Macaca mulatta: one gene and its partners. The protein of the gene in region 4 interacts with the protein of the main gene of each other region in a pairwise test. Links are inferred from orthologs where the notes say so. Each region holds a gene or a part of one and is shown on either strand. Other genes may lie near its edges.

What was found.
Region 1: the proteins of GMCL1 (region 4) and CHIC2 interact in binary tests that used the Homo sapiens proteins (3 or more experiments, as listed by UniProt). The two-hybrid records come from large-scale screens. The link is inferred for Macaca mulatta from reciprocal best matches to the Homo sapiens genes GMCL1 and CHIC2.
Region 2: the proteins of GMCL1 (region 4) and CIB3 interact in binary tests that used the Homo sapiens proteins (3 or more experiments, as listed by UniProt). The two-hybrid records come from large-scale screens. The link is inferred for Macaca mulatta from reciprocal best matches to the Homo sapiens genes GMCL1 and CIB3.
Region 3: the proteins of GMCL1 (region 4) and CFAP410 interact in binary tests that used the Homo sapiens proteins (3 or more experiments, as listed by UniProt). The two-hybrid records come from large-scale screens. The link is inferred for Macaca mulatta from reciprocal best matches to the Homo sapiens genes GMCL1 and CFAP410.
Region 5: the proteins of GMCL1 (region 4) and MORF4L1 interact in binary tests that used the Homo sapiens proteins (3 or more experiments, as listed by UniProt). The two-hybrid records come from large-scale screens. The link is inferred for Macaca mulatta from reciprocal best matches to the Homo sapiens genes GMCL1 and MORF4L1.
Region 6: the proteins of GMCL1 (region 4) and HYKK interact in a two-hybrid assay, tested with the Homo sapiens proteins (2 studies listed by BioGRID). The two-hybrid records come from large-scale screens. The link is inferred for Macaca mulatta from reciprocal best matches to the Homo sapiens genes GMCL1 and HYKK.
Region 7: the proteins of GMCL1 (region 4) and ELOA interact in binary tests that used the Homo sapiens proteins (3 or more experiments, as listed by UniProt). The two-hybrid records come from large-scale screens. The link is inferred for Macaca mulatta from reciprocal best matches to the Homo sapiens genes GMCL1 and ELOA.

Annotation. Positions count from the first base shown.
Region 1 is NC_133410.1:79,479,718-79,483,217, forward strand, and holds part of CHIC2 (cysteine-rich hydrophobic domain-containing protein 2), read left to right. Parts: intron 1-2,332; coding exon 2,333-2,389; intron 2,390-2,555; coding exon 2,556-2,615; intron 2,616-3,500.
Region 2 is NC_133424.1:16,646,021-16,649,520, reverse strand, and holds part of CIB3 (calcium and integrin-binding family member 3), read left to right. Parts: intron 1-490; coding exon 491-602; intron 603-1,951; coding exon 1,952-2,099; intron 2,100-3,500. UniProt on the Homo sapiens protein: Acts a an auxiliary subunit of the sensory mechanoelectrical transduction (MET) channel in hair cells. Plays a role in regulating hair cell MET channel localization and function.
Region 3 is NC_133408.1:3,194,787-3,198,797, forward strand, and holds the start of CFAP410 (cilia- and flagella-associated protein 410), read left to right. Parts: upstream 1-1,211; coding exon 1,212-1,511; intron 1,512-3,006; coding exon of another isoform or gene 3,007-3,025; intron 3,026-4,011. UniProt on the Homo sapiens protein: Plays a role in cilia formation and/or maintenance. Plays a role in the regulation of cell morphology and cytoskeletal organization. Involved in DNA damage repair.
Region 4 is NC_133418.1:54,922,780-54,927,020, reverse strand, and holds the start of GMCL1 (germ cell-less protein-like 1), read left to right. Parts: upstream 1-1,441; 5' UTR 1,442-1,669; coding exon 1,670-1,929; intron 1,930-4,241. UniProt on the Homo sapiens protein: Possible function in spermatogenesis. Enhances the degradation of MDM2 and increases the amount of p53 probably by modulating the nucleocytoplasmic transport.
Region 5 is NC_133412.1:57,080,616-57,084,897, forward strand, and holds the start of MORF4L1 (mortality factor 4-like protein 1), read left to right. Parts: upstream 1-1,482; 5' UTR 1,483-1,562; coding exon 1,563-1,602; exon of another isoform or gene 1,603-1,672; intron 1,673-1,754; exon of another isoform or gene 1,755-1,947; coding exon of another isoform or gene 1,948-2,239; intron 2,240-4,282. UniProt on the Homo sapiens protein: Component of the NuA4 histone acetyltransferase (HAT) complex which is involved in transcriptional activation of select genes principally by acetylation of nucleosomal histones H4 and H2A.
Region 6 is NC_133412.1:56,662,004-56,665,503, reverse strand, and holds part of HYKK (hydroxylysine kinase), read right to left. Parts: intron 2,108-3,500; coding exon 1,968-2,107; intron 1-1,967.
Region 7 is NC_133406.1:217,242,399-217,245,898, reverse strand, and holds part of ELOA (elongin-A), read left to right. Parts: intron 1-178; exon of another isoform or gene 179-310; intron 311-1,133; coding exon 1,134-1,314; intron 1,315-1,563; coding exon 1,564-1,675; intron 1,676-2,243; coding exon 2,244-2,416; exon of another isoform or gene 2,417-2,500; intron 2,501-3,500. UniProt on the Homo sapiens protein: SIII, also known as elongin, is a general transcription elongation factor that increases the RNA polymerase II transcription elongation past template-encoded arresting sites.

The DNA of each region.
Region 1 (3,500 bases), on a different chromosome or scaffold from region 4:
TCCTACATAAATATTTTGGAATTTAAGATTTATACTTTATAATTATCTTTTATTCAAATACTAGTAGTTGATTTAAGTTAAAGTAAATATTTTTAAGTTTTAAAATTGTGTGTATGAATGTGTCTATATATCATAATGAAATCTATCCTTATTATAGCATGGGTTTAAATTTCTGATGAAATGATGGTGGTAACTACATTTTTTTCTTTAAGTAATAAGTATTTGCAGAATGTAGTGTTAAGCTTCTGGGTACTATTTTATACATTAATATAAGACAATGGACTTGGAAAGCTTGTTCCACTCTAGTTCTTTCATCATCCACCAACCCCCAAAATCATCAGTAAAAGTAAAACCTCAAATTGTATAGTAATCTTAATCTATTATTAAAAGGCCCTAGAAAGAAAGATTACAAGGTAGATTCAGGTTTTGAATCGGTTTTGCCATTGGTTTAGCAGCGGGTGGGCAGGCAGATGCCTGCTCAGAGTAGAACCTATTGCCATTTTTCACCATTGATAGAGTAGCCTTTCAGAGTCAATGAGCTCTGTCAATGTGAGCTTGTCAAGGCTACAACTTCATAGACCTGAGAGGCGGTTTGAGAGGTCAGCCCTTTTCAGGTTCGCTGTGATGCAAATGAACTTTAATGCTTAAACAACTATTGGAATTTTTATGTCTGCTCCTTGTTCTTTTTTCTTCACAAAGTCATTGACGAGACATTCAGTGCTTTTTAAATTGGAAGTTGCATTGTGCTAAAGACCTAGTACAGATTTACGGAGGGCTGAAAGCAGTTAGATCATGTTCTTTTCATGGTGCGATTAGAATCAAATCGATTTCCCTACAGCCTTCAGCATTCAGATGGCAATTTTAACAAAGCTTGGGGGCTAGACAAGGGACAAAACGACCGAACTGAATGTTAATTACACTCTGCAGCCTTATTTTCTTTTGATTTGGGGCTGACTGGCAACTAAATTAACAAAAAGTGTGACCATAACTGCTGCCCTATTTTCATTTAAAAGGAGAGCTGCCTCTAAAAGGCTATCTTTACAAAGAAACAAGTGAGGTCTGCTGATCATTGTTAACAAGGGCACATTTTTTTCTTTAAAATTCTTGCCAAAAAGACTCTTCAAAAAAAAGTAATGTAATAATAAATTAGTCATTGGCATATGATTACCCAGAGAAGTAGCTGATTTTCTGAGTTTTGTGACATAAGCTTGGAAAACGTAAGGCAGTAGTCGTAATTCATTGGTAGTTATGAATTATAATTGGCACCTATGTGACTTTGGTGTGTCTTTAGCATGTTTAATATGCTAAAAGGTAAAGTAACTATTTAAAGTAGATATTTTAAATACATGTTAAAATTTTATTATGTAACATTAAACTGTTCAAACCCAGCTTGATCCTAACAGTTTTGCACCTAGCTAATCCTTGCTTGACATGCACATTTTCATATTTGATTACTAGTACTTCCTTATACCACATTAATAGTGGTAAGATGTTTTTTTCTTTCCTTTGCAAGAAAAGTGCAGCTGAACCAAGTTGCAGTTGATCCTGGTGGCAACACTGTCATTTTTGCACCTGCAGCTGTGTCAGTCTCATCCTAACACCTGGCACCATGAATTATCTTCTTTTATCCATACTCCCAAGCAGGAAACATTTCTTGCAGCATAGCGTATCTTGCTTGCATCAGTCAACTGAAGTAAATTCTCAGTTGATTCCTGAAACAGTAATATTGAATTAAGAGTTTGATTTTACTATCAGATGGCACTTTTATGTTGGTTTAAATAAAATTTTGACTCTTCAAAAAAATCTATTGGTAGAATAATCAGTAAGCTGTCTTTTAAATATGGGCATTATTTTAAGCATGGTGTGAAAATTAGTTTGATTTTATAATTCATTGATTTAATATTAACTTCCAATTTTTTGTTTTGGAACTTACTGAAAGGCCATTTGCATTTTGTTAACTAATATTTACTTTTGTTGTAAAATATGTATTAAGGAGCTTCTGTTACTATTTAAGTATTGGAAACATATTTTTGAAAAAAGTGGGGATTTAATTTTATTTGGCAGATGACATTAGCTTTTAAACCTTGATAGTTTTAAATCAGAGGCTAGTAAAAAAAGATTCATATGATAGAAATAAAGCCATATCTTTTTAAAGAAAGAGAACTCTTTGTGTTCAGGTTACCATTTAGTGCTTAGAAAATGGATAGTGATGCACACCACACTATACTCAGTCACTGTCTTACACCTCTTCCCTTTTCACAGAAAAAGCAGCTGCAAAACAAAGTTTTCTAAAACCAGTCAAGAGTAAACTTTTTTCTCATTTGTCTTCCAGACACGAAGATCGATTGAGAAGTTATTAGAATGGGAAAACAATAGGTTATACCACAAGGTGAGTACCACAGGGAGCAGCTTCGTACTGTTGGGGTCTGAATTGCACAGTATGGAAACAGATGCTTTTGTTGAACTAAAAATATGAAAGGTGGACAAATGGGTTAGTCTGTGTGCTGCAATAAAATAGAGCTCATTTTTCTTCTTTTACTCTCCTACTTGTCTAGCTGTGCTTGCATTGGAGACTGAGCAAAAGGAAATGTGAAACGAATAACATGATGGAATATGTAAGTTAAAGGGCTGTTTTGTGAGTTTCTCTATTAAATGATCATTTATTTTGCTTCTGATCTTATTCTTTCCATGATTATTAATCAGCAAAGGTGTCAGGAGCTTAATCTCCTGAGTGCAAGGATTTTCTACGGTTCACAGATGCATGGTTTCATGTGCAAGACTGATTTATAAAGTTATGAATGACTTGAAAACAAGGCTTCACTGTGTTCTGAAAAATAATAAATTAATTGCCAAGATAAAATAGGCTGAACATGTGTTGATGGAGTGTGAAATTTTAGATGCTGTATAAAGAATAACCACAACTTTGGTTACGCAGCAAGTCAGATATGGCTTTTTTATATAATGCTAATCAAGTTTCCAAGTATGGAAGAAAACCTTTCAGCCAAGCCATTGGAGCTTAAGAAACCTTTAGCCTTTATAGATTTTAACTGTCCGTACCTCAGTGCCCTTTAAAGAATCTGTTTTAAAGTGTTATTAGAATATCGCTTTGTAAAAATTAAAAGTAAGCAGGAAATGAGATGTTGATCATCTTGTGTTTACTTGTTAAAAAATATCTAATTTGGCATATATATACAATGAATTTTGTACTTACTCAGCATGGGATTTAATTTACTGACTCCATGATTTACTTGAGCAGTTTTTCTCCTTTTGAAAATTTCAGAATATTCTAGAAAATTAAGAATTTTAATTTTCTTTTGAGCTTGAGTACTGTACTTTAAATATGGCCAGGTTGTTACTTTAGAAGAAAAAGATCTAAGGAAAAATTAATTGTTGAAAGTAAAACTCAGAGCCTTTGTGAAGTATCTGTTATAACATTTCTGAGGAATTTTGCCTATTCTTTAAAACAATATAGCCATCATAGATGTGTGTGTGTGTATGTG
Region 2 (3,500 bases), on a different chromosome or scaffold from region 4:
CCCAGGGAGGTAGGGGTGCCTGTGTCGGGCTCTGTATGCTTGAGGTCCAGGCCCAGGGCTGAAGGTTCTTGGGGACACAGTATCCCTCGGTGTGCAGTGAGCAGCTGTGAATGTGAAAGAGAAGGGACTTGGCCGGGCGCGGTAGCTCACGCCTGTAACCCCAGCACTTTGGGAGGCCGAGGCAGGTGGATCATCTGAGGTCAGGAGTTTGAGACCAGCCTGACTAACATGGTGAAACATTGTTTCTACTAAAAATACAAAAAAATTAGCTGGGCGTGGCGGGGTGTGCCTGCAATCCCAGCTACTCAGGAGGCTGAGGCAGGAGAATTGCTTGAACCTGGGAGGCAGAGGTTACAGTGAGCTGAGATTGTGCCACTGCACTCCAGCCTGGGCGACAGACCGAGACTCCGTCTCAAAAAACAAAGAAGGGACAAGCCTCTTGCCTGCTCCCTGCTCCCAGCCTTTCCCAGCTTTTTCCTCCCCACATCAGGCTCTTCTATCGCTACCAGGACCTGGCCCCGCAGCTCGTGCCCCTCGACTATACCACCTGCCCCGACGTGAAGGTGCCCTACGAGCTCATTGGCAGCATGCCCGAGCTGAAGGTACACCCAGGCCATGGGACAGACAGGGGAAAAAATAGTAGAGATGTCTCTCGTTGCATTCCTCTGAGGTCGGTGCTGCAGTTATCCCCATTTTACAGATAAGAAAACTGAGCCTCAGGAAGTTAAGACACTTGTTCATGGTCACACAGCTACAATGTCACAGAGACAGGGTTAAAACTCAGAGTTGGCTGGCGTGGTGGCTCAAGCCTGTAATCCCAGCACTTTGGGAAGCCGAGGCGAGTGGATCACCTGAGGTCAGGAGTTCGAGACCAGCCTGGCCAACATGGTGAAACCCTGTCTCTACTAAAAATACAAAAATTAGCTGGACGTGGTAGCACATGCCTGTAATCTCAGCTACTAGAGAGACTGAGGCAGGAGAATTGCTTGAACTCAGGAGGTGGAGGTTGTAGTGAGCAGAGATCTAGCCACAGTACTCCAGCCTGGGCGACAGAGTGAGACTCTGTCTCAAAAAACTCATAATTGGGAGAATGAAATGAGATAATACAGGTAACAAACTCAGTACAGGGTGTGTTTTGTGTTAAGTACTCAGAGAACGTTAGTTCTTCTTGTAATAGGAGCTGCTAAATGCAGATTTTTTTCAGCAGGATGTTTGACACATGGTTTGTGCATCCAAGGGGAACTTGTGGGTTGAGTAACTGACTGTGAGTAGGGCTGATTTTATTGCAAGTGACAAAAACCTTATTTGAGAGGGACAGAATGGATTGGATCAGAATGGATTGCCCCTGAACAACAACAAAAAAATCCAGAGGCAGGGACAGTGTCAGGTATGGCTGGACTGTCATACCTGACAGGTATGACAGGTATGGCTGGAACCAGGGCCTCTGATGATGTGCTCAGGAATCTCCCCCCATCTCTCAGCTCCTTCCAGGAAGAGGTTTCAGTCTAAGGCAGCCTCTCCTCTTGAGGTTGTGAAAGGACCTCTCAGCCACTCAGCTTTAGCTTCTGTGAGCTTTGCAAGCAGCAGTAATGAGGTCCTCTCCCTCCCAATTTTTTAGAAAAATGTCCCAGGGCAGTCTCTGATTGGCTAGCTTGAGTCACATGCCCATCCCAGAGCCAATCACTGTTGCCAGGTGAATGGAACTCTCTGATTGGCCTTGCCTGGGTCACATGGCTGCTCCAAGAGCTGGAAGTGGGGTCAAGGTTGCTCTGACCACAGGGGCAGAGGGTGGAGTTGTCCAAAGTCCTGTCCAGGGACCATGGAAGGGAGTGGGTCTCGATGGAGAATACTTGGAGCCTCCCAGAAAGTGGGTGCTCAGAGTGAGACCACATGGACCCCCAGAGATCCTGGGGGTCGGAGGGTGGCCTCCCAGCTTCCTTTCTCTCCCCAGGACAACCCGTTCCGCCAGAGGATTGCCCAGGTCTTCTCCGAGGATGGGGATGGCCACATGACCCTGGATAACTTTTTGGACATGTTTTCTGTGATGAGTGAAATGGCTCCCCGCGACCTCAAGGCTTACTATGCTTTTAAAATTTATGGTGTGTGCATGGCCCTGGGGTTGGGGAGCATGGGGATGGGATGGGGAGTGGGAACTGGGTGGGTGGCACCCACATCACAAATGTCTCCCCAGAGGTTTTGAGGCCCTGCGTGACCCTGTCCTCTACCCCACTCCAATGCCTCCCCAGCTCATTTATTTGCTAACTCTATTCCAGCCCACACGGGCCTTGTTGTTCGTCTCTGGGCCTTTGCCTCTGCTGAACCCTCTGCCTAGAACACTTTTCACCTGGCTCCTTATTTACTTATTTTTATTTATTTATTTTTTTTTGAGATGGAATTTCGCTCTTTTTGCCCAGGCGAGAGTGCAGTGACTCAATCTTGACTCACTGCAACCTCCGCCTCTGAGGTTTGAGTGATTCTCCTGCCTCAGCCTTCTGAGTAGCTGGGATTACAGGCACATGCCATCACACCCGGCTAATTTTTGTATTTTTAGCAGAGATGGGGTTTCGCCGTGTTGGCCAGGCTGGTCTCGAACTCTTGACCTCGGGTGATCCGCCCGCCGCGGCCTCCTAAAGTGCTGGGATTACAGGCATGAGCCACCGCGTCCAGATCCCCTGGCTCATTCTTATCCTTGAAGTCTAGGTTGAAAGTAGGCCTCTCCCCCATTCATCCCCCTATCCCACCATCCTATTTCTCTTCTAGCACCAGGCAATGCTGCTTAATTTCTTGTTCCTTGACCTGTTCACTTCTTATTGACTTTGAGAAGACTCAAAGGTACTGACAGTATCTATTTTGCTCACCATCTGTCTTCTGAGCCTGGCTCAGTAAATATTTGTTGAATGACTGAATGAAAGAAAAACAGTTATCTTAGTGCCTGGCACCTTGTGTGCACTCAATAAATACTTGGTTTTTTGTTTCGTTTTGTTTTGTTTTTTGCTTTTGTTTTTTTGAGACAAAGTCTTGCTCTGTCCCCCAGACTGGAGTGCAGTGACGCGATCTCAGCTTACTGCAACCTCCGTCTTCTGGGTTCAAGCAATTCTCCTGCTTCAGCCTCCTGAGTAGCTGAGATTGATTACAGGCGCCTGCCACCATGCCTAATTTTTTGTATTTTTAGTAGAGATGGGGTTTCACCATGTTGGCCAGACTGGTCTCGAACTCCTGACCTCAGGTGACCCACCCGCCTCAGCCTCCCAAAGTGCTGGGATTACATCTCTACTAATTTTTTGTATTTTTGTATTTTTTGTATTTTTAGTAGAGATGGGGTTTACCATGTTGGCCAGGCTGGTCTTGAACTCCTGACCTCAAGTGATCCACCCACCCCAGCTTCCCAAAGTGGCAGGCTTACAGGCATGAGCCACCATGCCCTGCCACCATAATACTTTTTTTTTTTTTTTTGAGGCAGAGTCTCACTCAGTCACCCAGGCAGGAGTGCAGTGGCCGGA
Region 3 (4,011 bases), on a different chromosome or scaffold from region 4:
GGATCAGCGTTTTTAAGGATAATTTGGCGGGTAGGGCTCAGAAAGTGGTGAGTACTGATTGGTCAGGTTGAAGATTAAATCATAAGGGTTCGAAATGAGTTCTGGCTGACTTCTGTTCCTGGGTGGGATCGCACAAATGGTTGAGCCAGATTATCTGTCTAAGTGATGTCCGAATGCAGGGTCTACAAAACATTTCAAGCACTGATCTTAAGTTTTGCAACAGTGATGTTATTCCCAGGAGCAATTTGGGGAGGTTCAGACTATTGCCGCCAGAGGTTGCCAGCCCCTAAACTGTAATTTTTCATCTCATAGCTTAATTTGTTAGTCCTACAAAGGCAGACTGGTCCCCAGGCAAGAAGGGTTTTTTTGGGAAAGGGCTATTATCAATTTTGTTTCAGAGTTTAATCTATAAACTAAATTCCTTCCCAAGGCTAGTCTGGTCTACACCCACGAATGAACAAAGGCAGTTTAGAGGATAGCAGGAAGATGGGGTGCGTTAGGAGATCTTTCCCTGTCATAATTTCTTCAGTTACGATTTTTGCAAAGGCGGTTCCCGTGGTCTCATTACCTTTACAAAGGCTGTTTAGTTTTGAGGAAGGGCTGCTATCATTTAAACTATAAATGTCTCCCAAAATTAGCTTTGCTTATCCAGGAATAATTAAGGGCAGCTTCAAGGACAAAGGCAAGATGGGGATTGGCCAGATCTCCTTCAGGGCCATCATTCTCTCACTGATACAATTTTTGGCAAAGGCGGTTTCAGAATGCCCGTCTTAATGTAACTGTGGCCCATGTAACGATGTTTAGGGGGTCTTACCTGATTTCTAAAAGGCTGAAATGCTTGTAAGGGCTCTGCTGGACCTGTCCGTACGTCTTTCCTATAAATGCGTCTTTTCTGTAAAAGCTGGGAGGGAGCGAGACAGGGAATCAACACAGCCCCAGGGCTGCCCTGGGTTTATTCCAAGAGTTTGAATCGCGTAACTTGGAGCTGTGTAGCGCCCATCCCATCCACGCTAGGCCCGCGCTCAGAGACAGGCCTACGCACTCGGCCATGGTACGCGTGGGACCGAGCCCACCCCGCTCGGTTCCAGGGAGCGGCAGCTCAGCCCTCACGGGGCCGCCTCCGGGACCGCCACCTGCACCCACCCACGGCTCGCCGCGCGCTTCCGGGGTCGCGTTAGAATCGCGTCAGAGCCGGGCGCCCCAGGCCGCCCATGCGCAGGAGCAGAGCCGACGTGTCAGCGGCGCCCAAGCGGCCCCAGGGCGCTCTCCTCGCCCCGCTCTCCTCGCCAAGCCGCCAATGGGCTCAGGATCCGCCCCTGACGACGTGGGCCCCGCCCCTGGAGACACGCGCCGCGCAGTCGTCACCCGCCCGGGAGCAGGAGGCCGGGGGCGCCCGCCGGCCGGGCCTGGGCGGTCGCCATGAAGCTGACGCGGAAGATGGTCCTGACCCGGGCCAAGGCCTCGGAGCTGCACAGCGTGCGCAAGCTCAACTGCTGGTGAGGCGGGGCCTGGCCGCGGCCGCCCCGGGGTCGGGGGAGGAGCGGGGGCGGGGCCAGGGCGGGGACTGGGGTGAGGGCGGAGCCGGGGAGGGGGCGGGGGCGGGGGTGGAACGGGGGCAGGTGCGGAAGTGGAACGGGGTCAGGTGCAGGGGCGAGGGCGTCAAAGGAGTCAGGGGTCAGGGAGGAGAGGAGACCAGGGGTCGGGGTCGCCGGGGCCCCCCCATTTCCCGGCCCGCCTTTGCCCCGGCTGCCCTGTGGGCCAGATCTGATGTCTGGGGTTGCCAGCAGTCACTGGGACCAAGTCGAATAGGAGAGAGAACTGAGTTCTCGAGGACTGAGTCAGGAAACACGTTGGTAATCAGTACTGGGGGCGGCCGTGCCAAGGGTATGCCTGGCAGGTGATAGGAAGGGACGTGGGTGCGGTGGGACCCATGAAGGCGCAAAAGCGGGTAATACTGAGGCTCACCAGGCCAAGGAGGACCAGGAGCTTCCAGAGGAGGCAGCCTGGAGTTGAGGCCCGCACGATCTCCAGGGCTCCCTGGGGACTCAGCGGAGTCGCTGCGCCCTGTCAACTGGCCGCACCCTGCAGGCGGGGCGTGGGGGTCAGGGAGAGCAGGCGCTTCCTCCCAGGGGTATCCCCATACTGCCCAGAGCGAGCTCTTCTCTGTTAATTAAAAAGCTTTTCTGGGCCGGGCGCGGTGGCTCAAGCCTGTAATCCCAGCACTTTGGGAGGCCGAGGCGGGCGGATCACGAGGTCAGGAGATCGAGACCATCCTGGCGAACACGGTGAAACCCCGTCTCTACTAAAAAATACAAAAAAAAAACTAGCCGAGCGAGGTGGCGGGCGCCTGTAGTCCCAGCTACTCGGGAGGCCGAGGCAGGAGAATGGCGTAAACCCGGGAGGCAGAGCTTGCAGTGAGCTGAGATCCGGCCACTGCACTCCAGCCTGGGCGACAGAGCAAGACTCCGTCTCAAAAAAAAAAAAAAAAAAGCTTTTCTGTCTGCCCTGGCACATTTGGTGTTTTGGCTACAATTCCCCTGTGTCATTTGCTTTCAATAATGCATTTCTTTGTTTTGCACGGGGTGGTCAGTACTCTCACTAAGCTGGAAGAAACAACAACCCGATTTCAGGCTTTTAAAGTTTGCTTCATAAGTCGCCTGTTCACCCTTTGAACTTGGCCTCTTATAAAGACGCCCTTGTTGATGTCTGTCAGTGAGAGATATTAACCTTCTGCTATTCAGGGACCATGAGGAACAGTTCATCTTTTCGTGTCTTACAAATGGCTCTGCTGCTCCTTATCTAAAAGGTACCACCCCAACGTCATACAGTGTAGTTGAAAATCAAGTAAAACAATTGTTTACACCTTTGCCGGTTATATTTTTTGCCACGCCATTAAAATGCTAGAATCTTAAGGTTTGTAGGGAGTCATTGGTAATTTTTGGAATTTTTGTCTTCAGTGTTTTTTATTCAACTTTAACAAAATTAAAGTATCTTTTCTCTCCCCAGGGGCAGCCGCCTCACAGATGTAAGTATTGCTCTGATCATCTCCAAATGGCCTCAGTCCCAAATGTTGTAGCTTCTTCCCCAAGAGAATTTTTAAGTTGACAAAACTGCCCCTATCAGTTCAGTCCCACACTTGGTACTTTGTTCACTTGGCGGGTTTCGTTATGTAGAACCACTAATGGAAAAACAATTCTCCAGTACCAGGCTGATTTTGCTGTTCCCGTCAACATAAATGAAACGCTGTTTGTCACTTGGTCACAGAGGAGGGGAGCAATAGTTTGGAACTTGCTATCACCTGGAAAGGAATCCCAGGACGGTTTGTTTTACTTTGTTAAGGGGAAGTTGAAGGTCTGCACCCCCTCTTCTTGGTCACATCTAGCCTTGTGCCCCCCACCGCTACCCCAAAGGCGGCAGAGAACAAGCCCTGCTGGGAGAACTTGAGCGTGTGCGTCTGTGAAAAGATTTCTTTCTTCTCTTCCCTCATTCTCTTTCTCAGTCCAAAATGTCCCCAACTTCCAACTTACACAAGGATTGCATACCAATTGTTTCTTTCTTTCTTTCCTGTTTTTTTTTTTTTTTTTTGGCCCAGGCTGGAGTGCAGTGGCGCGATCTTCGCTCACTGCAACCTCCACCTCCCGGGTTCAAGCGATTCTTCTGCCTCAGCCTTTGAGTAGCTGGGACAACAGGCGCCCACCACCATGCCTGGCTAATATTTGTACTTTTTGGTAGAGATGGGGTTTCACTGTGTCGGACAGGCTGGTCTTGAAGCCCCTGAGTTCAGGTGATCCACCTGCCTCAGCCTCCCAAAGTGTTGGAATTACAGGCGTGAACCACCATGTCCAGCCCAATTATTATTTATCTCTTTATTCTCTGTTTTTTAAATTTGAACTGTACCTTTCCTTAAAGACAAAAAAAAAAAGCCTGGACACATGGCACCGGATGTAATCTGTTTTGTGCTGTAACTGAAATACTGCATGTTTAGCAGTGACTATATAAACACACCATGGT
Region 4 (4,241 bases):
CCGTTAAAGTAGAAATAACCTCTCACGGCCGGGCGCGGTGGCTCACGCCTGTAATCCCAGCGCTTTGGGAGGCCGAGGCGGGCGGATCACAAGGTCAGGAGATCGAGACCACGGTGAAACCCCGTCTCTACTAAAAATACAAAAAATTAGCCGGGCGCGGTTGTGGGCGCCTGTAGTCCCAGCTACTCGGGAGGCTGAGGCAGGAGAATGGCGTGAACCCGGGAGGCGGAGCTTGCAGTGAGCCGAGATCGCGCCACTGCACTCCAGCCTGGGCGACAGAGCGAGACTCCGTCTCAAAAAAAAAAAAAAAAAGAAATAACCTCTTACTAAGGAATGTAAAAACAAATATGGTTCAGTCATTCAATGAGCAGTGAAAATTATCTAGCAATTGACCAAATGGACAAATCTCGAGAGTATAATTTTGAGAGGAGAAAGGTGCACAGTGAGAGGTACAGCTATGATTCCGTTCCATGATATGTCTAAACATGCAAAAGAAAATATGGGTACGCATATAAGGACATACATGGACATAATAATATACAACATTCTCAGCACAGTGATTGCCACTGGGGAGGGAGACAGAATGAGATGGAGGAGGTACACAGGGGCTTCTGCCTATCTGTATTGTTCTATTTAAAAAGAATGAATCATTGATTACACCTCAATAAAGCGGAGAGGAAAAAAAGAATGAAACCAAGTATGATAAAATTTCAAGCTAGTGGTGGGTCCACAGGAGAAATATTTTTATTATTTTACTTAAAAAGTAACAGAAGGGAGTCAGGGAGTGAACGCTCGCTGTCCGGAGTCCATCACAAGAGCAGCTCCTCCAGGCAGACACTTGTCAATTTTGCTAGGGCCTCCTGAAGGCACTTTTTTGAGTACGGACAGTCATGGTGCCAGACCCTATTCGGACATCCCACTGGCACTTGATAGGAAAGAAAAGGAGTGCCGGGAACGTTCCCATAACTTAACGGGTTCCTTTCACGTCTACAGCAGGGTAGGGCTCCAGTTAAGGAAGCCCAGGAATCCAGCATAGCGCCTCATCCTAGGGCCCCTCTCACAGGAGGCCACGCCCAACAAAGCAGAGCGCGGCCCCAGCAAGCGCCGAGCTCCCGCAAGGAGACCAAATAGCTTCGGGGTTTTGCCACTTGCTTAGCACAGGCCCATAAGCACCGGGGGCTCAAGGCACCTTTGTAGAAAGAATGCGCGACTGAAGTTCCAAGTCTTGCCACTACAAAGGCGTGTGTGAACTACGGCTTAACACTGCGTCTACGCCTAAGTTCACGTTAGTTGGAAGCCAGCCCCACCGCAAGCCCGAAAACACCCGCCCGTACGAGCACGCCGCGTTGTGCGCAGGCTCCACCTGCCACGCACGCACGCCTGCCTTGCCCCGCCCCTTCCGGAGGCTCGCCACACGCATGCGCCCGCCGGCGCGCGCTTTGTTACGAAAGCGAGGGGGCGAGGTTCTGCGGTGCTAGCGCGCGGAGCGACCAGAAGCTGCGGGCGGGGCGGAGGATGGAGGCTGTAGCGTCCGCTGCAACGGTTGGGGCTGCGCGTGAGAAGGTGGCGGTGTAGGCATCTGCGCTCGGGGAAGGCTGGCGGCGGCGGCCGGGCCATGGCGGGAGACCCCCTTCTCTGGGCTCCCTGAAGTCTCGGGGAGCCGTGACCCATGGGATCGTTGAGCAGCCGGGTGCTGCGCCAGCCTAGACGAGCCCTTGCCCAGCAGGCGCAGGGTGCCAGGGCGGGGGGCTCGGCCCGGAGGCCGGACACTGGAGACGATGCGGCGGGCCACGGCTTCTGTTACTGTCCGGGCAGCCACAAGCGCAAGCGGAGCAGCGGGGCCTTCTGCTACTGTCACCCTGACTCGGAGACGGATGAGGATGAGGAGGAGGGGGACGAGCAGCAGCGGCTCCTCAACACCCCTCGAAGGTACGTGGGGGCACGCACTCGCGCGGACCCGGACCCGCACCTGTTGGGCCTGGGGCCGAGCCGGCGCCCGGTGCGCTTGCGGGGTGCAGCGCTCCCCAGCCTATGAAGAGGGGTCGTGCCCTTGACAAGTGAATGTGGAAGCCGGCCCGATGCCGGGCGGACGGGGGAGCGCCTTGGGAGACGCCTGGTGTTCTGCATTTTTAACCACAGACGCTTCCAGGGTGTTGTTACAGCCCCAAGATGAGGATGAGAAACGCCAAGCCCGAGCTCGCGTCTCGTTAAACCTTAGAGACGCCCGGCTGGCTGGCCTTACCAGTCCACCTTTGCCCTCTCAAGTGGGTAGCCGCAGACTAAGTTGTTTTGCATCCGGTTGCTTTAGTACAGACACTAAATGTAATCTCTGAAATGGGCACTCTTACTGTCGCCCACTCAGTGGAGGGGAAATAATTGCACACAGGAGTTCTCGTTAATCGTAAAGGTGAAGTTTATCAATAGTGTACATTTGTTCCTAACCAGGAACAGAGTTTGTGCAAGTTTCTAGCAGTTGATGTCGTTGACCGTGGATGTACTGTATGTAGGGCGGTGCTGCTGCAGCTTGCTTAACTGTTTTTTTTTTTTTTTTTTTTTGATGAGTTGAAAGATGGAATATTGACTTGTGACCTGGAATTGGAATGTAGTTTATGGGTAGAATATATTCTTACACAAACAATTTGGTTTTTCTGCTTTTGTTTTTAAAGGTGATTTGGTAGGGTCACAGATGAAATTTTTTTAATGATTTCTTTTTCTTTTTTTCTTTTTTTTTTTTTTTTTTTGAGACGGAGTCTTGCTCTGTCGCCCAGGCTGGGGTGCAGTGGCCGGATCTCAGCTCACTGCAAGCTCCACCTCCCGGGTTTACGCCATTCTCCTGCCTCAGCCTCCCGAGTAGCTGGGACTACAGGCACCCGCCACCTCGCCTGGCTAGTTTTTTGTATTTTTTAGTAGAGACGGGGTTTCACCGTGTTAGCCAGGATGGTCTCGATCTCCTGACCTCGGGATCCGCCCATCTCGGCCTCCTAAAGTGCTGGGATTACAGGCTTGAGCCACCGTGCCCGGCCTCTTTTTCTTTTTTTATTTTTCAGACAGAGCCTTGCTCTGTCACCCAGGCCGGAGTGCAGTGGTGCGATCTCAACTCACTGCAACCTCCACTTCCTGGTTCAAGCGATTCTTGTGCCTCAGCCTCCCGAGTAGCTGGGACTACAGACACGCACCACCATGCCTGGCTAATGTTTTCTATTTTTAGTAGAGACAGGTTTCATCATGTTGGCCAAGCTTGTCTCAAACTCCCAACCTCAGGTGATCTGCTGGCCTCATCCTCCCAAAGTGCTGGAATTATAGGCGTGAGCCACTGCGCACCCAGCGTAAAATTAAACTTTATGAGCAGATTCAAAAAGGTTTTGCTATACAAGTGTTGCATATTGTAAAAAAGGAATCATAGATTAAAAACTCAATAGTTTGGTTTATAAAACCTTTTGTACCTTTTTTAATGAATATTTTTATTTATTTACAAAAATGGACCCCTACTGTGAATACTATTCAGTAACTTTTTTTGTTGTTTATTTGATTTTTGGAGTTTTTTTCTAAAGAGACAGGGGTCTCACTATATTGCCCAGGGTGGTCTCAAACACCTGGGCTGAAGCGACCCTCCCACCTCAGCCTCCCAAAGTGCTCAGATTACAGGTGTGAGCCACCATGCCTGACCCTGTAACCTTTTTGAAGAGTCAGTGTAGCATAGTTTTTTTTTTTTGGAAAATTTTTTTTCTTTTTTGAGACAGGGTCTCGCTCTGTCGCCCAGGCTGGAATGCAGTGGTGGGATCATGGCTCACTCCACCTCGACCTCACAGACTCAGGCAATTCTCCCACCTCAGCCTTCTGTGTAGCTGAGACCACAGGCATGCACCACCACACCCAGCTAATTTTTTTATTTGTAGAAACAAGGTCTCACTCTGTTGCCCACCCAGGCTGGCCTTGAACTCCTGGGTTCAAGTGATCCTCTTGCCTTGACCTCCCAAAGTGTTGGGATTACAGGTGTGAGCCACCGTTGCCAACCTGTGGCATAGTTTTAAGAGTTCAAATTCTGAGTTCTTGGCCAGGCGCAGTGGCTCATGCCTATAATCCCAGCACTTTGGGAGACTGAGGCAGACAGATCACCTGAGGTCAGGAGTTCAAAACCAGCCTGGCCAACATGGCGAAACTCTGTCTCTACTAAAAATATAAAAATTAACCAGGCGTGGTGGCGGGCGCCTGTAATCCCAGCTACTTGGTACGCTGAGGCA
Region 5 (4,282 bases), on a different chromosome or scaffold from region 4:
ATCCCTCTTTTCTACTTATTACTAGAGACTGAAACTAAAAACCATGGCTTCAGGGTGCTAAAAGCCTAAACAAAACAAAACAAAACAACAGGAAAATAAGGCAGGTTGGACAAGCTTGCAAGTAGCAGCCGTGACAAGATGGTGTATATTCAACTGGAATAACGAAGATTTTTGTGGGTTTCTGTTGTCGAAGAAGGGGTTGTGTTAAAAAGACTGAAGGAGAAATGGAAGTCAGAAAAATGGAGAGGGGCCCGGAAATGGTAGGGTGTGGAACCCGGGCAGGGGAGGGCTTAGAAAAGCCATGGAGGCAGGCTGGGCACGGTGGCTTGCTCCTGTAATCCCAGCACTTTCCGAGGCCAAGCCGGGCGGATCACGACGTCAGGAGTTCCAGATCAGCCTGACAACATGGTGAAACCCGGTATCTACTAAAAATACAAAAATTAGCTGGGCGTGGTGGCACGTGCCTGTAATCCCAGCTACTCCGGAGGCTGAGGCAGGAGAATCGCTTGAACCTGGGAGGTGAAGGCTGCAGTGAGCCGAGATCAGGCCACTGCACTCCAGCCTGGGCGACAGAGCGAGACTCCATCTCCAAAAAAAAAAAAAAAAAAAAAAGAAAGAAAAGAAAAGAAAAATATATAATATTGAAGAAATCCGTTTGTTTAGTGTGTGTACATTCAATCATGGCTCAAAAAATTAGATGACAAAAAAGTACAAACAGGGCAGGTACGGAATGCAGAGGTTGGCATATTCACACTAGCCTTTTGCGGATAGCAGAGCTCCATTATCTCAAAAAGCCAAAGCCTGACTAGTGTTTCCCACGTCATCTTCCTCATTTCCGCAAGGCCGGGACTGGAGAAGAGGAGGTAGACCTGGGAGCCAACAAATGGCTATCAATCCCACCAAATAGACTAGGCAGTGGGCTTGCTAAACAACGAAGCTTCCAGAAGCGGACCCCACTTCCCATCCTCTTGTGGCCACATTGCTGATCCTAAAGCTTTTCTATGCAAAAACTAGCGGAATGCTATTGAATATAGGTTTTCGAGGCAGCCCTATTCTCTCCGGCTACTTCAACATCAATGGGGGCTTATTTGCCCAAAGGACGTCGCAACTGGGTTTTTCCCATTTTTTCATCGCTGGTGGTTCACCGCCCCGACTCTCCCCCATTGCCCGCTCTGCTTTAACCTCCCACGTAATCAATTCCCCGCTTTACCAACCCGCAGCAGCCCGGGGGATGGGGAGTGGCGGGGGGGTGGGGAGGAGTGGGGTAGGGTAGCCGGCCCCTCCCCCACCCAGCTGCGCCTCCACCAACTAGAAACTACCAGTCCCGGCGTGCCCCGGGGCGGCGCGGGCGCAGGGGCGCGGGCGCGGCGGGTTGTCATTGGCTGGAGCAGCGGCTGCGCGGGTCGCGCTGCTGTGAGGTCTGCGGGCGCTGGCAAATCCGGCCCAGGATGTAGAGCTGGCAGTGCCTGACGGCGCGTCTGACGCGGAGTTGGGTGGGGTAGAGAGTAGGGGGCGGTAGTCGGGGGTGGTGGGAGAAGGAGGAGGCGGCGAATCACTTATAAATGGCGCCGAAGCAGGACCCGAAGCCTAAATTCCAGGAGGGTGAGTGTGCGCCTTTGGGAAAAAGGCACCTAACGGCGCAGGAGATGGAGGCGGGCTCGAGGTGGTTGAGGTTTGAGGGCCGGGGGTGGCTCGGGGTGCACCCTGAGAAGGCGGCGGATAGTGCTTTGTGCGGGGAAAGCGCATTGCGGATGGCAATTCCGATGCGTCATTGTGAGCGCTTTGTGAAGCGAGAGTGCTACGCAGGCGTTAGAGTGGGAGAGGGAGCGTTTGGCGCGTGGCACACCCTCGTCAAGTGTTTGTTATTGTTCTGAGGAAGAGGGCGCGGAGAGAGCAGCCTATTGTAGGGAGGCGACCAAGGCGCCATGGCGGCGGTTAGGGGAAGTGATGTGGCGGCGGGGGGAGGGGCGGCGGTGGTTTCTGGCTGTCCTGCAGCGCGCCCGGCCGCTTGGGCAGCCACGACCGGCGGTTAGGTGCTCCCTGGAGCCCCGGGGTGGTCGCGTTCGGTGGAGACTCGGAGCTGCAGATGGGGGTGGGTTTGGCGCCACGGGGCGGGAGAACTGCGTTGTAAAATGGCCGTTGCAACATGGCGGCTTCATCATGGCCGCTGGCGTCTCTGCCCCGTATGCAGGCGCAGCTTCAGGGCAGATGCAGCGCCCCCTTCCACGAAGACCGCAAGGTTGCCGGGACCCTTCGCTTACCTCAGAGTGGTGGGTGGGGACAGAAAAAAAAAAAAAGGATCAGTGGGATGAGCGTTTTCCTCCGCTTTGTGTTGCCTGGAGGCCTCATTCTGCTCTTAGGCGCAGTGCCAAGATCCTATGGTAACGTTAGTGCGCTCTCGCTTTGCAGTTGCTCGTAAAAAGTAAATAAAAATGATCTGAATGCAGTGTTAACGCCGTTTGCCTTTGTAAGTCCCATTGTCTCGACGTCATTTTTTAAATGCAGTAATTGTTTGATTAGTTGCAGTGTTTAACAGTGACTTGAAAGTTGAGTTTATTTTTATTAATTGGTTTTCGATTGGCATGAGGTTTGGCTAGGGTTAGACTGCCAGTGGAAGGCAGCTCTTTAAATTTTCACAACGCTTCAATTTATGTATAATAAGGTGGAGGTCTAATAGCTAAAAAGGAAGTAAAATCCTGTAAAAGGAGGAACACTCTAATATTCGTTTTCATTGCTATGGAAATTTATGCTAGTTACCGTAAATACGGTGTTTCCATGCGTACTATTTTTGTTCTAGGGATTTTTAGACTTGCATTAAAATTCCTTTTAGAGACATAAATCTTAAACCGTAGTACTGCGTATCTTATGGGATATTTAAGGGAGTTTTAGGGGTATTTTGTTAACGAGTGACTTTTTTGTTTTTTTATATATATATATATATATATATTTTTTTTTTTTTTTTTTTTTTTTTTTTTGAGACGGAGTCTCGCTCTGTCGCCCTGGCTGGAGTGCAGTGGCCAGATCTCAGCTCACTGCAAGCTCCGCCTCCCGGGTTTACGCCATTCTCCTGCCTCAGCCTCCCAAGTAGCTGGGACTACAGGCGCCCGCCACCTCGCCCGGCTAGTTTTTTGTATTTTTAGTAGAGACGGGGTTTCACCATGTTAGCCAGGATGGTCTCGATCTCCTGACCTCGTGATCCACCCGTCTCGGCCTCCCAAAGTGCTGGGATTACAGGCTTGAGCCACCGCGCCCGGCCTGTTTATATTTTTGAGACAATGTCTCACTCTGTCACCTAGGCTGGAGGGCAGTTATGGTACTCGGCTCACCTCTGCCCCCCGGGCTAAAGCGAGCCTCCCAAGTAGCTCGGATCACTGACGCGCGCCGTCATGCCCGGCTGAGTTTTGTTCTGTTTTGTTTTTAGGGGTTTTTTCTTTCTTTGTGGGTTTTTTTTTTTTTTTTTTTTTTTTTTTGTATTTTTGGTAGGGACGGAGTTTCATGATGCCCAGGCTGGTCTTGAAGTCTTGGGCTCAAGCGATCCACCCGCCTTGGCCTCCCAAAGTGGGAGGATTACGGGCGTGAGCTATCGCGCTCAGCCGTGTGACTTTTAATACCCTTCTCCCACCTTGAGAATCTGTGACTCTACCTCCTATGGATTCATTATTTTACTAGACGTTTTAGAGCAGATATTCTTAGTGCATTCAGAGGGTCCGTGAAATTGAATGAGGAAGATGTGTTTTTTCTGTGTACCCAAGTTTAGTTTTCAGTTAACAGTGTAATTCCTCCCCCCAAACCCCGAAAAAAAACGCCGCATTAGTATTTTCAGATCTCAGCATTACAGTTGTGGAAGATGTTTTCAGTTATCAATCATTCTCGTTTCTTCAAAATTAGGGTAGTTGCTGGATGACTAGCCAAGTCTTTGTCCTGTAATGTCATAGAACGTGACATTTAAAATGTTTTGGTGTTTCGATACAGTCGGTTGCCTTTGTACTACTGTGTGTTTTATGTATTTATGAAATCATTCGGCTCGTAGGCTGTATCAGACTGTCAAGGCACAAAAAGTTAATCGCTTCTGTAGGAACAGCCTAAGGTTGGCTGTTTAAGGAAGCGCTTTAGTTCTAGAGGGTTGCTAGTTAAGAGGGGAATAGCAGCAGAGAATTCCTTGTGCCTTTTTTTTTTTTTTTTTGAGACGGAGTCTCGCTCTGTCGCCCAGGCTGGAGTGCAGTGGCCGGATCTCAGCTCACTGCAAGCTCCGCCTCCCGGGTTTATGCCATTCTCCTGCCTC
Region 6 (3,500 bases), on a different chromosome or scaffold from region 4:
AAAAAATGGAAGCAAGAAGTGGAGCAATGTCTTTCTTTCTTTTTTTTTTTTTTGAGACAAGGTCTTGCTCTGTCACCCAGGCTGGAGTGCAGTGGTGTGGTAACAACTCACTGCAGCCTCAACCTCTTGGGCTCAGGTGATCCTCCCACCTCAGCCTCCCAAGTAGCTGGGACTACAAGCATGCACCACCACACCAGGATAATTTTTTGTATTTTTAGTAGACACAAGGTTTCACCATGTTGCCTAGGCTGCTCCCAAACTCCTAGCCTCAAGTGATCCTCCTGCTTTGGCCTCCCAAAGTGAAGGGATTACAGGCGTGAGTCACCGCACCTGGCCTAAACCTCTTTTCTGTATAAATTACCCAGTCTCAGGTATTTCTTTATAGCAGCACAAGAATGGCCTAATACTAAGACCAACCCCCTGGCGAGACGTGGGTAGCTCATGCCTGTCGTCCCAGCACTGGGAGGCAGAGGCGGGAAGATTGCTTGAGCTCAGGAGTTTGAGACCAGTCTGGACAACATGGCTAAACCCCATCTCTACAAAAAATACAAAAATAAATTAGATGGGTGTGGTGGCACACTCCTGTAGTCCCAGCTACCTGGGAGGCTGAGATGGGAGGACTGCTTGAGCCTGGGAAGTTGAGGCTGCATTAAGCTGTGACTGTACCATTGCACTCCAGCCTGGGAGACAGAGTGAGACCCTGTCTCAAAAAAAAAAAAAAGACCAACCCCATCTCTTCCTCCTTCTCCTCAGCCCACTCAAAGTGAGGATGACAGTGAAGACCTTTATGATGACCCATTTCTACTTAATAAATAGTAAATATATTTCCTTTGTCTTGTGATTTTTTTTAATATAAAAGGTACTCAGTCAATATTGAATAAATGAAGATGTTTTATGGGTGAGTCTAAAAGGCACCTGTCATACATTATATCGTTTCTATAGGGCAAAAACATCCTTAACATACACTATTAATCCATTTGCAACCTAGCTATTGCTTCATACGGAACTCCAGCTGATTATACTGTAACTGGATGAAATCTTCACGTTTCCATTTGTGAATATTGATTGTTTTCAGTGAGCAGCATGAAGAATATCATGAATTTCTAAAAATTTAGGTAATCTTTCCAATACACCAGTAAGATTTATTTATTTTTTAATTTAAAAAAATTGGCCGGGCGCGGTGGCTCAAGCCTGTAATCCCAGCACTTTGGGAGGCCAAGACGGGCGGATCACGAGGTCAGGAGATCGAGACCATCCTGGCTAACACGGTGAAACCCCGTCTCTACTAAAAAATACAGAACAACTAGCTGGGCGAGGTGGCGGGCGCCTGTGGTCCCAGCTACTCCGGAGGCTGAGGCAGGAGAATGGTGTAAACCCGGGAGGCGGAGCTTGCAGTGAGCTGAGATCCGGCCACTGCACTCCAGCCTGGGCGACAGAGTGAGACTCCGTCTCAAAAAAAAAAAAAAAAAAAAAAATTAAAAAAAATTAAAAAAAATTTTTTAGAGACAGCGTTGCTCTGTCGCCCAGGCTGGAGTAGTGGTGTGATCTCGGCTCACTGCAACCTCCACCTCCTGGCTCAAGCAATTCTCCTGCCTCAGTCTCCCAAGTAGCTAAGACTACAAGCACATGCCACCATGCCCTAAATTTTTGTATTTTTTAGAAGAGGCAGGGTTTCGCTATTTTGGCCAGGCTGGTCTCAAACTCCTGGCCTCAAGTTAGATCCCTCTGCCTCAGCCTCCCAAAGTGCTGGGATTACAGGCGTGGACCACCACACCCGGACTACACCAGTAAGAGTTTGGCAGAAGTTAGCCTTACTGTCATAAAATGTATGCACTCTAGGACTCCATTCCCTTCATAACATACCTTAGGTGCACCATACATAAAAAGAGAATCTGATTCTTAGTTTATTTTAAAAATAAAATAACAAACAAACGTCCCTTAGAATAAAATAAAGCCCCATATCTTACCTGCAGTGTCTTATCCAATTTGGCAGCTAGCTTTCCAATTTCATACAATAGCTGGGGGCTGATGGGAATCTCAGCTATGGGTCTTCCTGGGAGGTAAGTCAGCAGCCTCACCAAGTAGCTTTTGATTTCAGAGCCACTATCTAAATGGATGGAATAAAATATCCTTTGACTATTTTAAATATATACATTGAGAGACAGATAGATATAGATATTTAGATATAATAGAATTAGAAGCTATTATGCCTTTGCAAGTATTATTGAAAAGAACAGAAATTACAGAACAACAACAAAAATGTGCTAATCTAAAACAGCTCGGCAGGATTCTATGAGGCAGAGTTGAGTGGATGAAGCAAGAAGGTAGAATACACAAACCTTAAGAACACTGGAACTGGCCATTTACATACCAACAAAATTATAGCCCTAACTCTGCTGGCCTTAGCTCTACACAGAAATTACCTACTGTGGTAAATGAAAGCAACAACACATACCCTTTCATAAGTTCACAGTTGAAGGGAGTGAGGTACCAATAAATGACTTCCAGAATCAGGCTTCCCGCAGGACACCCTCTGTTTGCAACACAGGACAATAACTATGTCTCAGGGAACAATGGGCCTCAGGTATTTGTAGCAATGCAAATTAAGAAAGAATGGTGAACAATTAAGAGAGAAAAAGACAATCAAGATTTCGAACCTTTAAAAAAACTTGAAGAAATTGGTTTTAGCCTGCTGCTTAAAGAGCTGAATTAGGTCCATTGTTGGCATTTTAGTATTTTGAGGTGAAAAGGACTATCTCACAGATGAGGACTGGTGGTCTTAGGGATTTAAGTGGTCTATGTGTCCAAGGTTACATATACAGTAATGACAAAGCTAAAATCTAAAATTCCTGATTCCCAATATTCTTTCTACTATACTGCAGCACCAGAATTTATAGCTTCTCTAAGTAATAAAAATATTTTATTATTTTTCTGGTTAAAAAAAAAAAAAAAAAAAACCGGCCGGGCATGGTGACTCATGCCTGTAATCCCAGCACTTTGGGAAGCCAATGCAGGCAGATCACTTGAGGCCAGGAGTTCAAGACCAGCCTGGGCAACATGGCAAAACCCTGCCTCTACAAAAACACTACAGAATTAGCTGGGCGTGGTGACGCGTGCCTGTAGTCCCAGCTACTCAGCAGGCTAAAGCGGGAGGATCACCTGAGCCCAGGAGGTCAAGGCTGCAGTGAGCTGTGACTGCGCCACTGCACTCCAGTCTGGATGATAGAGTGAGACCATCTCAAAAAACAACAAACAAATAAAAATAAAAACCCAAAACCACCAACAACAAAACAAACAAACAAACAAAACAAAAAATGTTCCCCTGATTTTCACAAGTTCCCTTAGTTACTATCTGTCAGGGCCTTTCTAAACAGAAAACTTATACCACATTGGGCTCTAACCACTACTCAATCAGAGGACCAATCACCACTTTGATGATGCTGTGGCTTCTCCCAACACTGAAAAAATAACCACCTCTAAGGGCGTACTATTGAGGTTGC
Region 7 (3,500 bases), on a different chromosome or scaffold from region 4:
AGCAGAGCAGCTGGGACCCAGGGTGGGTAAAGCACTTTGTGTTGACACATCTGGTGATTGACTGGATGTCTCTTAAGAGACATCAAGATCTATCCAGAAATCCTCCTTAGGATATAGGTATACACATTTGATTGCATCAGCTATCTCTCTTTAATTCTGAGAGTTCTCTGACCTAACATCTTTTTTTTTTTTTTTTTTTTTTTTTTTTGAGACAGGGTCTACCTCTGTTGCTTAGACTCTGCAGTACAGTAGCCTAATCATGGCTCACTGCATCCTTGAACTCCTGGGCTTAAGTGATCCTCCCAAGTAGCTGGGACTACAGGCACATACCACCACACCTGGCTAATATTTTTATTTTTCGGAGAGATGGACTCTTAGACTCTTGGCCTCAAGTGATGTCCCATCTTGGCCTCCCGAAGTGCTGGGATTACAGGCATGAGCCACTGCGTCTGGCCAATAACTTAACATCTTTCTTAGGTTGCCCCCTGCCATCACAGTTCAGCGTAGTGTTGGGAAGTACCTGATTGGACTTGATCACAGTTCTACCCTTTGCTGATTTTCTAAAGGAAAAGACTGATCTTACACTAATTTTTGTGATATCCTGTCACAGCCACCAAAAGCAGCTAGCCTAGTGCCTCACACTTAGCATTTTTAAAATTTAGTGAGTTATTTTTTCCTAGAATTGTGGTATTTTAACATACTACTACGACAAAGACCAAAAAATTATTAGGAAACTGGTCACTCCTAGGTAATTAAAGAATCAGAAAAAGATATGGGGCCGGGCGTGGTGACACACGCTTGTAATCCCAGCACTTTGGGAAGCTAAGGTGGGTGGATCACTTGAGGTCAGGAGTTCAAGGCCAGCCTGGCCGACATGGCGATACCCCGTCTCTACTAAAAATATAAAAAATTAGCTGGGCATAGTGGTAAGCACCTGTAGTCCTGGCTACTTGGGAGGCTGAGGCACAAGAATCGCTTGAACCCAGGAGGCAGGGGTTGCAGTGAGCCGAAACTGCACCACTGCACTCCAGTCTACGCGACAGAGCAAGGCTCTGTCTCAAAAAAAAAAAAAAAAGATAGTGCTTGTACATAAAAGTGCTTGTACATAAATGATGTCCTGGTTCTGGTTTCAGGTATTAATTGAAGAAACAGATCAATTATGGAAAGTTCACTGTCACCGAGACTTTAAGGAAGAAAGACCCGAAGAATATGAGTCGTGGCGAGAGATGTACCTGCGGCTTCAGGATGCCCGAGAGCAGCGGCTACGAGTACTAACAAAGAACATCCAATTCGCACATGCCAATAAGCCCAAAGGTAACAGAGACGGGAGAGCTGGGGTAGAACTGGCAGGATGAGTGTTCTGGTCAATAGCAGGGTCTTGGTGGGCTTGGCTGGTGTGGGACTGCTCGCCCCTACATCAGGTAGCAGGGTGGGTATTTCTTCTGCCACAGCCCATGCTACCCTATAGTGGGGTTTCAGGGCAGTGGAAAACCCCGTGGATTATTTAAATAACAGTAGCGTCTCTGCTCAAGAAGGCAGATGTTCATCTCCATAATTCTACAGGCCGACAAGCAAAGATGGCCTTTGTCAACTCTGTGGCCAAGCCACCTCGTGACGTCCGGAGGAGGCAGGAAAAGTTTGGAACTGGAGGAGCAGCTGTCCCTGAGAAAATCAAGTAAGAACTGTGTTCTTACCTGGCTTTTGTGTGCTATCAACCCTTAAGAGGTAGCCATAGCGGCAGGAAGCAAATTGCTTTTGGTGAAAGCAAGGCAGTGCAGAAGGTGGACTCTGGAGGCAGACCTCATCAGCTCAGCACTTCCCTCACCTCCCTCAGCCTCTGCTTCTTGGACTGCAGTGCAAGGTGATAATTTCTCCTGCCCTAGGGTAGTCAAGATTAAATGGAGAGCAAAGCCTGACTTATGGGAAACATTCCCTTATGCTTTCCCTTTTCTCATCTAAACAAAAAACACATTTCTGCAATGACTGTTATTTTGTCTAAGCCACATTAGCATTTTCAAAATACAGATTTATACCAAAACAGTGAAAAGTTAGTTGAGATTATCATTTATTCTGAAAGGATAATGCAGACACCTCTGAGCCACCACCAGAATCCAGGGTGCTAGGGTCCACTGGTCAAAGCCACAAACAGGGTAAGTCATCCTCACACAGGCCAGCTTCAGGCTCTTCATGCTCAGGGCAGATTTCTTGTGCTCATGACTAACCAGTGTTGTCCTGTGTTGCAGGATTAAGCCAGCCCCGTACCCCACGGGAAGCAGCCATGCTTCCGCCAGTAGCAACAGCTTTAACCCCAGCCCTGAGGAGCCGGCCTATGATGGCCCAAGCACCAGCAGTGCCCACTTGGCACCAGTGGTCAGCAGCACTGTTTCCTATGATCCTAGGAAACCCACTGTGAAGAGTAAGTAACTTGGAGTTCCTGCTCAAATATTATTTCAGAACTAGTTTTTAACTCTCAATGTCATTATTCACTGTATTACATTTTGTGGACTGCATGTTGCATGTGCATGATGCCTTGCACATAGCTGGTCTGAATGTCAGTCCCTCCTTCCCTCTGCTTTGTCCATAGTGCACTATATCTTTTAAATAATTATAGTGAGTCCAGGTGCGGTGGCTCATGCCTGTAATCCCAGCACTCTGGCAGGCTGAGGCAGGAGGATCCCTTGAACCCAGGAGTTCAAGACCAGCCTGAGCAACATAACGAGACCCTCTCTCTACAAAAAATTTTAAAATTGGGCATAGTGGTACATGTCTGTAGTCCCAACTACTCAGGAGACTGAGGTGGGAGTATCACTTGAGCCTAGGAGGTCGAGGCTTCAGTCAGCCTAGATTGTACCACTGCACTCTAGCCTGGATGACAGACGCTGTCTCTCTTTTTTTTTTTTTTTTTTGAGACGGAGTCTTGCTCTGTCACCCAGGCTAGAGTGCAGTAGCACGATCTCAGCTCACTGCAAGCTCCGCCTTCTGGGTTCACACCATTCTCCTGCCTCAGCCTCCTGAGTAGCTGGGACTACAGGTGTCCACCACCATGCCTGCCTAATTTTTTCTACTTTTTAGTGGAGACAGGGTTTCCCCGTGTTAGCCAGGATGGTCTCAATTTCTTGACCTCGTGATCCGCCTGCCTTAGCCTCCCAAAGTGCTGGGATTACAGGCCACCGTGCCCAGCTGGGTTTTCCAAATATTTATTCTTTATATCCAGTTGCGTCTATTTTGTATTTTGTTAACTTTATTACCATAGACTATCCCCAGTATCCTAAGGGGATGTCCTAACTTAAGTCTTATTCTGTATTAATTGCAGGGCCTATGGGAGGGTAGGAGTCCTGGTTTGAGCAGCAGCTATGCTCAGATTAACCATTCAGGAGGCAGGCTGGCCCTCCTTAGGCAGTACTTGCAGAGCCACCTTAGACCTGTTTCTACACTGGACAGATTAGGGGTAGACGTGATGTTTACTGGTTTGGCTATTTGTGAGGCAAAGTTATGACTGA